Linked DNA regions of Sus scrofa. The main gene of each other region encodes a partner of the protein of the gene in region 2 in a complex. Links are inferred from orthologs where the notes say so. Each region holds a gene or a part of one and is shown on either strand. Other genes may lie near its edges.

Region 1 (4,722 bases), on a different chromosome or scaffold from region 2:
CCAAATGCCACCTGGCCCAGTGCCCCCACGTCCCCTTCACTAGGCCCCTGAGCACCCAGCTAAGTGCTGGCCTGCAGGGCCTCCACCCCCAGCTCATCCAGCCAGGGCTCCTAGAAACGGTGCCTCTACTTCCAAGGGGGCCTCAGAGGGGACCTGGAGGAGGTGGGACCGAGGCCGGGCAGCACTGTTCCTCGGGCTTTCCGGGTTCCCCTCCCACCCTCAGGCCTCCCTCTTCTCACTGCAGCCTGCACTCTCCACCCCAACGGCTTGACGAGAGGCACACCCAGCTGGGTGCCCAGACCTCCACGGCTCCTGAGGGAACTGGGCAGACCCCTGGACCAGGGGCTCCAGACTCAGCAGTGGGGGGAGCTCTGGTCCCAACGTCACACTTTTTGGGTCCCCACTGCTGTGGGTCAGTCTCCTGAGCAGACAGCATGACGGGAGCGCTCCTGGCTGTGACCCTGACCCTACAGGCACATCACAGGGACACCTGCGGCCAGAGCTGGTGGAAGGAAGGAAGGACAACTGCTCCCGAGCTGGCCTTGCACTCCCCTTCCAGAGACGGGCGTGGTTCAGACAAGGGCTCAGGCTGCTGGCAGTCCAGACCCTTGTCCTCTGGTCAGCCCTGGGCATGCGAGGTCAGTGGCCACTACCAGGCAGTATGTCTGCTGGTCATATCGCCCCACAAAATGAGGGGTGCCCAACGGCCCCCAACCACCCCACGATGGGTGGCAGCCAATGAGCTTCCTGCAGCCAGCCAGACCCTGCGGGCAGGGTAGGAACAAGGAACCAGCCGGGCAGAGGCCAGGAGTGGAGGGCCCCCTGCGGGCCGTGGGGGAGCTCACCGCACTGCCCCACACAGGGACCGCCTCGCAGGGCCACAGTGACAACCCTCGCAAGAGAAAACAATGTCCTGTCAGGCTTCCTGCCACTGACAAAGGCCAAGTCTCTCCGCCCCAGAGGACAAAAGGGGCTTCCTTCCTTCAGGGTCCCTTCCTCAGCTCCTCTGGGCTGTGCTCCCTTCCCTGGGCATCTGGTCTGGACACCCAAGCCAAGCCCCTAGTGCCACCAGCACACAGGGACAGGGTGGCTCAGCTCCAACTTCCTATTCCAGGACCCGCGGGACCCATTTCTACAGCTCTTAAAAATAGCTGAAGCCAGGTTTTTCTCCCAGCTTCTCCGTCATGTAATTTACAAGACACGAGATGTCAAAGATGAATGAAAGACCTGCCAGCGGGCTTCAGCATCAGCAGAAGTGCCAGTGCCCACCTGTGGCACGGCTAGTCCAGGATGCCCTGCCCGGCGGCAGCACGTGGCAGGTTTCTGCGAGGAAGCCTGTTGGGTGTGGAGCCGATCCTGACCCCAGCCCCTCCCCCGCCCCGTGGATACACACTTCCTGCTCCCCTGGCGCCCAGGCCTCGCGGACTCAGCCTGGGGACTCAGCCTTACACCCGAGGACGCTGCCTTACACCTTTCAGCAGGCGGCCGAGGAAAACAAAGCCAAGCAGTGGCCACAGGAAAACCTGGCTACCAGAGCCAGAGCGGCACACTCCACGTCCTACCAGCTGCAGATCACACCTGCTTCCCAATAACAGACAAGAGGAAAGTACAAACCATGTGCCACACAACCCAGGGTGCGCTTTGGAGGGTCCCCCGGAATCAGCCAGTTACCGCTCAAGGCCAGACACCCCCAGATGGCTTTTGCTGTTGGCAATCCCAAGACCCAGTCCCCCAAAGAGAAAGGCAGTGGGTGTCTTCCCAAGGAGCACCTGTGGCCCGGGAGCAGCCCTCTCATCCTCTCCTGTGCTCTGCTCTCCCCGCGCACAGACTCGAGAGCTGCGTCAGCACAGCCCCTGCCCAGCACAACACGGCCTGTGTCCCCGCCCAGGCTGCGGCCCCAGCGTGGACCCTGACCTTGCAGGTCTCTCCAGGTGCAGATTCATGCTCGGCAGGATTCCCACCAGAGCCAGCGGCCCCTGCCCTGTTCCCACCACAGGGCTCTGCACAGCCTCTGCTGCCCCTGCACTGGGGCTCTATTTTGCCAAGCTTGTGGGCTTCTGCCCCACACAACTGGGCAAGCTGGCCAAGCTGAGTCGCCCCTGCGCTCACCAAGTCTGAGCGCCTCGAGACTGCTCCCCGCTTCGCCCACGACGCGCTCCGCAGGACTCCCCCGCGCCTCCCTTCACCCCACGCTCGCCCTCGGAGGGACCGCTCCTCTGAAACCTCAGGATGACAGTCCTGGAGGAAGCGCCCTTGCTTAGCCTCTGCAGTCGGTGCTCCGGTAAACACACACACCCCTCTCCCCGGATGCCAACCCTTACCTGGTTGGCAAAGCCCCTGAGGTGAGCCATGTCTGCGCCGCCCTCCACCATCCGCTGCAACCTCGGGAGGCCCCGAGATCCTGCCTGGAGGCTCCGGAGCCCGGCCCACTCGCTTCAGGCAACTGGAGGGAGAGCAGGCCTGCTCGGTTCGAGGCACGCGGGGCTCCCTGCCGCCCTGGGGACCGGCGGGCCGGCCCGCCCCGGGGGCGGGCTGGAGTCACAGGGCCCCTCCGCTAAAGGCCCCCACCGCCGCGCTCTCCTCATCGCCCCGCTACGGCCCGACGCCTCCCTGAGGAGCTCCCCAACACGGGGCATCCCTCGGCGGCCCTCACACTTCCACCCGCAGCCTTGCTCCTTCTTTAGACCCCTTACCCCGGCCAGGACCCCCGCCGGGACCCCCGCCCCAACCCCGCCCCCGGTGCCCTCGCCCCCCCCCGGCGCCCCCCCCCGGGTCCCCCTACCGCCGAGCTCCGCCTCCAGTGCCCTCCTCGCCGGCCCCCTCGGGGCCCTCCCCCTGCCTCACTCCCCGCACCGCCCAGCCCCCTCCCCAACCGCCCCAGGCGCGGGCCAGCCCGGCAGCGCGCCCACCTCCGGGGGCTCCATCCCGGCCTCCCCCGGCCCGCTCCGCAGTGCCCACGAAGGCTCCCACCCGCAGCCTCCGCTCGCCCAGGGACGCCTGGGCCCTCCAGCCCGCGAAGCAGCGGCAGTGGCGGCGGCGGCCGGAGAAAGCCCGGCGGCGGCGTCAGCGACGGCCCGGGCGGCACGGTGTCGTGGCCCGGCGCGGAGCTCTCTGGGACACCGAGTCCCTCGTTCGCCCTGGGTCGGGGCGCACGCAGACCCTGGACTACAAGTCCCGGCAGGCCATGGGGCGGAGTGGTGTAGCGGCCCGCAAGCGTGCCGCGGTGCCCGCTGGGACTCCGAGTCCGGCTTCCTGAGAAGCTTGGGCCTACGTCTCCCGCCAGGCCGCGGTGCTGGGCGGGGCCTGTGGGGCTGGGGCGGGGCCAGGCGGGGCCCGCCCGGCGGCCGTGGGGTTGGGGCGCCCCCACCTTTCAGCTCTGCGGTCGCCCCCCCCCCCCGCCCCGCCTTCCGTCCTCCGGCTCCCCTTCCGAGGGCCTGGGCTCAAGACTCCAATTCTATCTTTCAGGCCTCTTGCAGCCGCCCGCGTGTCGGGGAGGAACGAATGGGTCCCCAGATGCGGTCCAGACGTGCCCGGGGGTAGGAGGGCAGTGCTGACTCGGGCCATTGCAGGGACCAACCGCCAAGACGGTGGCTAAACGAAATAAGCTAGTCCCAAAAGGACAAGCAGTGCTTGGACCCACCTGTGTGAGGTGCCTGGAGTCCTGAAGACAGAAAGGCGACAGGCGGGTGCCAGGGGCAGGGGCGGGCGCTGGGAAGTGAGTGTTTAATGGGGACAGAGCTTCAGTTTGGGAAGGTGAAAAGAATTCTGGAGATAATTGTACAGCACTGCCCAACTGAATGCTTTAAGGTGTAAGCTATCACAATTCAAAATACGTAAAATTAAAAAGGCATTGTTTTTTGTTATATGCCACAACGTGGATGAAAACGTTATGCCAAGGGAAATAAGCCAGTCGCAAAGAGACAAATACCGTGTGATGCGGCTTCGATGACCTCTCAAGACTGGATCAGTTCAGGAGGCAGAGGTGCTTGAGATTTCCTGGGGCTGGAGGAAGAGAGAAGGGATACACCACAGGGTACAGGGTTTCCATCGGGAGTGGAGACCAAGCTCTGCGATGGCCCCACAACGCTGTGAACGTGCTTGACGTCAGTGACCTGTACACTTAAAATAGTCTCCGTGTGTGCTCTGTGTGATTTACATTTTACCAAAACATTTACAAGGATGCAGCTGTAAAGCAATGATAAATTTGATTTCATCGAATGTTTTAAATTTCGATTTCAGAAAGGCATTGTTAAGAGAATGAAAGGACAGTTCCCTCCTCGGGCGTTAAGGAGCCGGTGTCATCACTGCTGTGGTTCTGGTTACAGCTGTGGTGTGGGTTCGAGCCTTGGCCTGGGAATGTCCATATGCCACAGGCAAGGCCAAATATAAATAAAAAAATCTTTTTCTTGCTTTTTAGGGCCGCACCCACAGCATAGGGAGATTCCCAGGCTAGAGGTCTAATACGAGCTATAGCTGCCAACCTACACCACAGCCATAGCAACGCCAGATCCGAGCCTCCTCTGCAGCCTACACCACAGCTCAGGGTAAACCCAGATTCTTAACCCACTGAGCGAGGCCAGGGATCGAACCCATGACCTCATGGTTCCTAGTCAGATTGTTTCCACTGAACCATGACGGGAGCTCTAATAATTTTTTTTTTTTTTTTTTTTGAAGCTAGAGAAGTTCCCATCATAGCACAGTGGAAACGAATCCGACTAGGAA
Region 2 (4,509 bases):
TGTAGAATGGGAATGTGATGGGTAGAGCAAATGAGTGATATGTAGAAAAACCTTTGGGGACAAGGGCAGTTCCCACGAGTGCTGGTGACACTGAGGGGCTGCTTACCTCCTAGGGTGCAGGCTGACGGAACTCCAAGGGGGTGGTTCCAGCCCAGCTCAGCTGCACTGCTGAAGGAAGATGAACCAGAAAACCCCAAATCAACCAACTTCACACAACAGGGCACAATTTCATCTTATGAAATCTCATAAGCTCAGGCAGGCATCACCTACCTGAAGCATCTTAGCAGTGAAAGGAAGGCTGTCATAGCAACCTATACCCATCCCTTCTTTCGTGAATGTGTCCAGAAAGGTAGGGGTAGAAGTGATAGAAGGTGTTACCATGACAACCCCTTCCCTAGACACATTACATTCTGAGAGACAATCCTAAAATGTCTTCTACCTTGGTGGGCCTGGTTCTAGGGTCATTGGAAGGCAGAGTGCCCCCATTACCATAGTACCCAGGACTTGGCTCTGCCAGTTTCTCACCTCCCTAGGGATAGCCCGCATCTTGTAACCATAACAACTACTCCTCAGCAGAGCATCTCCTCCTCTAAATAAAAACACCTGGCTGGTCCAAGGCCCTCCCACCATGGGAAAGGGGGAGATGGTTACCATGGTAATGCCAACCAGGAGGCTGGGGAGAGGGGCTGGGAAAGAGATGTTTCCCTCAGCAGTGTCCTTGGGGCCAGGCTCCTTTCTACCTGAGCGCTAGGTGAGGTTGCCATAGTAACCAAGGAGGGTAGGGGCCGAAGGACCACCGGGGACTTGGGTGACCTTAGCAACCTCCTATAGGTAGGTGCAGGGCCAGGAGAGGTGGAGCTCCAGGACCATAAAGGTGGAGGGGAAGGGAGGCTAAGGGTGTCCCCGACTGAGGAAGAGTTACCATGACAACCGCCCCGGGCCAGGAATCAGGATGGGGCCATCGGTGAAACCACCCCTGGTGGTCGCCCTTTCTCTCAAAGAGGGACGGTGATCTAGGAGAGTGGTGTTTGGGTCTGGAGAGGGCTAGAATCTTTCTTTGGGGTGAAGCCGGAGGAGGGGTACAGGAAGCGGCCCCTCCCAAAGTCCTGCGCTTCCTAAGGGGTCTGGGTCGCGTTTGCCCTCCTCCAGGCGCGCGCCCCTCCTCGCCCCTCCATGCGCGCGCCTTGGGGGTCGACCCGGGTGGGCGAGGCGCGCGCCCGACATCGTTCCCGGCACCGGCCCCCCCGGCCCCCGCCGAGCGCGCGCTCGAGGGCTGGCGCGGCCGCGCAGGCGCGCGAAGCACAGCGGGCGCGCGGGCCGGCCCCGGGGCCTCCATGATGGAGGAGCGAGCGGCCGCCGCTGCCGCCGCCGCCGCTTCCTCCAGCCGCCCACTCGGCTCCGGCGCGGGCCCGGGCCCGACGGGGGCGGCTCCGGTCTCTGCCCCCGCCCCCGGGCCCGGCCCGGCTGCCAAGGGAGGCGGCGGCGGAGGCAGCCCCGGCCCCACGGCGGGGCCGGAGCCCCTGAGCCTGCCGGGGATCCTACACTTTATCCAGCACGAGTGGGCGCGCTTCGAAGCGGAGAAGGCCCGCTGGGAGGCGGAGCGCGCCGAGTTACAGGTGAGCGCCGCGCCGAGTTACAGGTGAGCGCCGCCCAGGGACCCTCGACCCCCCCGCCCGGCCCGGCCCGGCCCGGCCTCACCCGCCGCTGCCGCCGCCGCCATCTTGGAGCAATGGCCGCCGGGACTGCCGGGGGGGGGCGGGAGGGGACCGCGACCGGCCCGCAGACGGAGTGAGGGGCCGTCCGAGGGGGGTCCTGAGGGCTCCTGGGCGGCTGGAGACGGGAGGGGGGCCCAGGGGCTGGAGGGCCCGACCGGGGCAGCCAAGAGAAAGGGCGCAGGGGACCAGAACCGGCTGGGAGTGGGAGTGGGGGTGAACGGACTGGCCGAAGGGTCCCTGAGAGAGTGGCCTCGGGGACCCGAGCGGACCCCAAGAGAACTCGGCCAAGGGTGATGAGAGGGCATGGAGGGGTCTTGTACGGGAGTGAGCAAAGAACATGCAGGGTGCTGAGGGAGTCACACTCCGTCCCCGTTGGAGGTGGAGCCCGGCGGGCCCCGGGTGGGAAGAGGGGACGTTGGGGGGACTTGGGACTCGCCGGAGTCGAGAGCAGGTCGGGGCTGGGCTCCCTTGTGAGTAGGGAGAGGAAGTCAGGGAGCTCAGGACGGGTTTGTTTCGGAGTGTTAGGACGGCGGGGACTGAAAGATGGCTCTGCCGGGACTCCGGGGAGGAGAGCGAGGTCTCGGGGGTGTCAGATGAAGGTGTGTGCCCCTTCCCTCTGAGGAGGAAACTTTGTGGAGCCTTGGCAGTGCGTCGCTACCGCCTCCCGGGAAGGGATCCCGGGGGTGGAATCATGGAGGGGGCCAGGACGTGCCCCAGGAGCCTGTGCTGGAAGAGCTTGAGAGCCGAGAAACTCTTCGGGGATGTGGGAGATGGGGGGACTCCCGCCCAGAGATGGGAGGTGTGGAAGATGTCAGGTGCAGAGCCCCGACCTGGAATGAGAGGAGGTCGGCCGTGTCCAGCGGTGGAGCTGGGGCGTGGGGTGAAGACACGAGGAATTGGCCGAATCTGGGGGTGGCGGGGAGCATTTTGTAGAGCAGGAAGGCAGCCAGAGGAAGAATCTCACAAAGATCCTGGGGTGGGGGGTAGTGTTTGTGGAAGTTTCTGGGAAAGGACTCTGGTTTGTGGAGTAGCTTGAGGGAGGGCTGTACCCCTGGGATGATGTTTGGAAGGCGCCGAGGAGCTGGGCTGGGTTTTGTGACCTTGAGAGATGTGGGTCCGTTTGCTGGGTGTCCCTAGGAGCCTGGGTATCAGAATTGTGAGGATTTTAAGGGTTCTAAGGATGTGCTGCCAGGAGTCTGAGGGGTCCTGGTCTGTGGTGTTATCAGCAGAAGTCAGCGCCTGCTTCTAGCATCTTTCCCCCTCTGATTTGCTGTTTCCTGTCTAGGAGAGGTGGGGACTGAAAGAAACACCTGGTTAGAATTTTGTCCATGGGATGAATAGAGAGAGCATCCCGCAATTCTCCCACCCCTGTAGGGATCCTGGCTCTGTGGTAGCTGAGGCTTGGTGCTGGGGGGGTTGGGTGGGAGAGAAATCCTTATGCAAGTACCCCTTGTTTTTGTGTTCCATCTCTCCTTCCAGAGCTCTTTCCCAGAGTACGTCTTTTTAGATCTTCTTAGTACCCCTTCATGTAGGCAGGGCCAGTGTCCTTGCCCTCGCTCAGCAGCTGCTATCGCAGCTGCTGTTTATTGAGCACATACTATGTGCCAGGCATTGTGTCAGGCACTTTAAATAAATCCTTGCAACCTTCTGGGAGGGTAAGTGATATTCCCCCCCTTCCCTCCCCTTTAAAGAAATCAAGCAGAAGAGGAAGTGGAGGCTTTGAGCAGGTCAGTGATTTATCTAGACTCATAGCCTGTGGGTGGCAGAGGTGGTCTGTGGGCTTTCGAGCCCATGCGTTATACTTCTCTGATGCCCAGGACAGAGGAGAAGCCTGTTCCAGGAAGTTCTGGCCTCTGCGGGAACGTCCAAGCAGTCACAGCAGACCTGGGGTTAAATCTTGGTGCTTGGTGTCTGGGACTTCACACCTGTGCAGCCTGCAGCACCCCCCAACCCACCTCCTCATCTTTGAGACAAACAAGAGAAAAGATGTGTCTGTTCCCCTCCTTAGTGGTCTTCTTGGGCTTTGGGAGAAAGTTGTGGATAGCACCCGCTTAGACGCTCCTTTGTCTAGCCTCCGGCGCCACTCACTTTGTTTTCTTTTGTTCTGTTATGTTAGCGCACATTCAAAGCGCTCAGGCATCTGTGTGCACATATTACATACATGTGAGTGAAGGGGACCCCCGTCCCTTTCCTGACCTGCTCCCTAACTCGCCTCCCCAACTGTTTTCTGTGAAAGTAGTTCAGCTCCATGTGTGTAATATATGAGATCATATCATGTGTATCATTTTGTGACCTTTTTTCCCACATAGTCATGCGTCTTGGTGTTCCTTTCATATCAGCACAGAGAGCAATACTCACTGTTTTTGAAAACTATATTCCACTGGTGTTTGTATCCCAGCTCATTTAATTGGAGCCCTCTTGATGGAATTTTAGGTTGTTTGCAGCAAATATCCTTGTATCCCCGCGTGAGTACAGCAGAAGAGACGGGTGGAGGGGGTGGAACAGGAGAAGAGGTGTGTTTATGAAGCGGGGACTGGGTCTGGCAGGTTGCCCCGCATTTACACTCGCATCAGCAGCACCTCTTTTTATACACTTTGACTTGAGCACTTATCACTTAGAGAGGTGCGACTTCTCCTGTGAGATCCTTTAAGGCCTGGACTGTATCAGATTTTTCCAGTTCTGAATACCTTTTCTCCAAATAGCTGAGTGCAGCTGCTCCTGGCACAGGACCTGTGTGCAGTCAGTGTGTGGGGAATGGCAGAAAACACAGCCTTGTGAGGTCCTGCCAGGAGGC

The links. The genes of interacting proteins can lie anywhere in the genome.
Region 1: STRN4 (region 2) and STK25 share a complex: the UniProt entries of both Homo sapiens proteins name them as parts of the core of STRIPAK complex. The link is inferred for Sus scrofa from reciprocal best matches to the Homo sapiens genes STRN4 and STK25.

The regions. Positions count from the first base shown.
Region 1 is NC_010457.5:140,151,254-140,155,975, forward strand, and holds the start of STK25 (serine/threonine-protein kinase 25), read right to left. Parts: upstream 3,058-4,722; 5' UTR 2,971-3,057; exon of another isoform or gene 2,910-2,970; intron 2,444-2,909; 5' UTR 2,373-2,443; coding exon of another isoform or gene 2,322-2,372; 5' UTR 1-2,321. UniProt on the Homo sapiens protein: Oxidant stress-activated serine/threonine kinase that may play a role in the response to environmental stress.
Region 2 is NC_010448.4:52,624,708-52,629,216, reverse strand, and holds the start of STRN4 (striatin-4), read left to right. Parts: upstream 1-1,306; 5' UTR 1,307-1,334; coding exon 1,335-1,616; intron 1,617-1,698; exon of another isoform or gene 1,699-1,751; intron 1,752-4,509. UniProt on the Homo sapiens protein: Calmodulin-binding scaffolding protein which is the center of the striatin-interacting phosphatase and kinase (STRIPAK) complexes.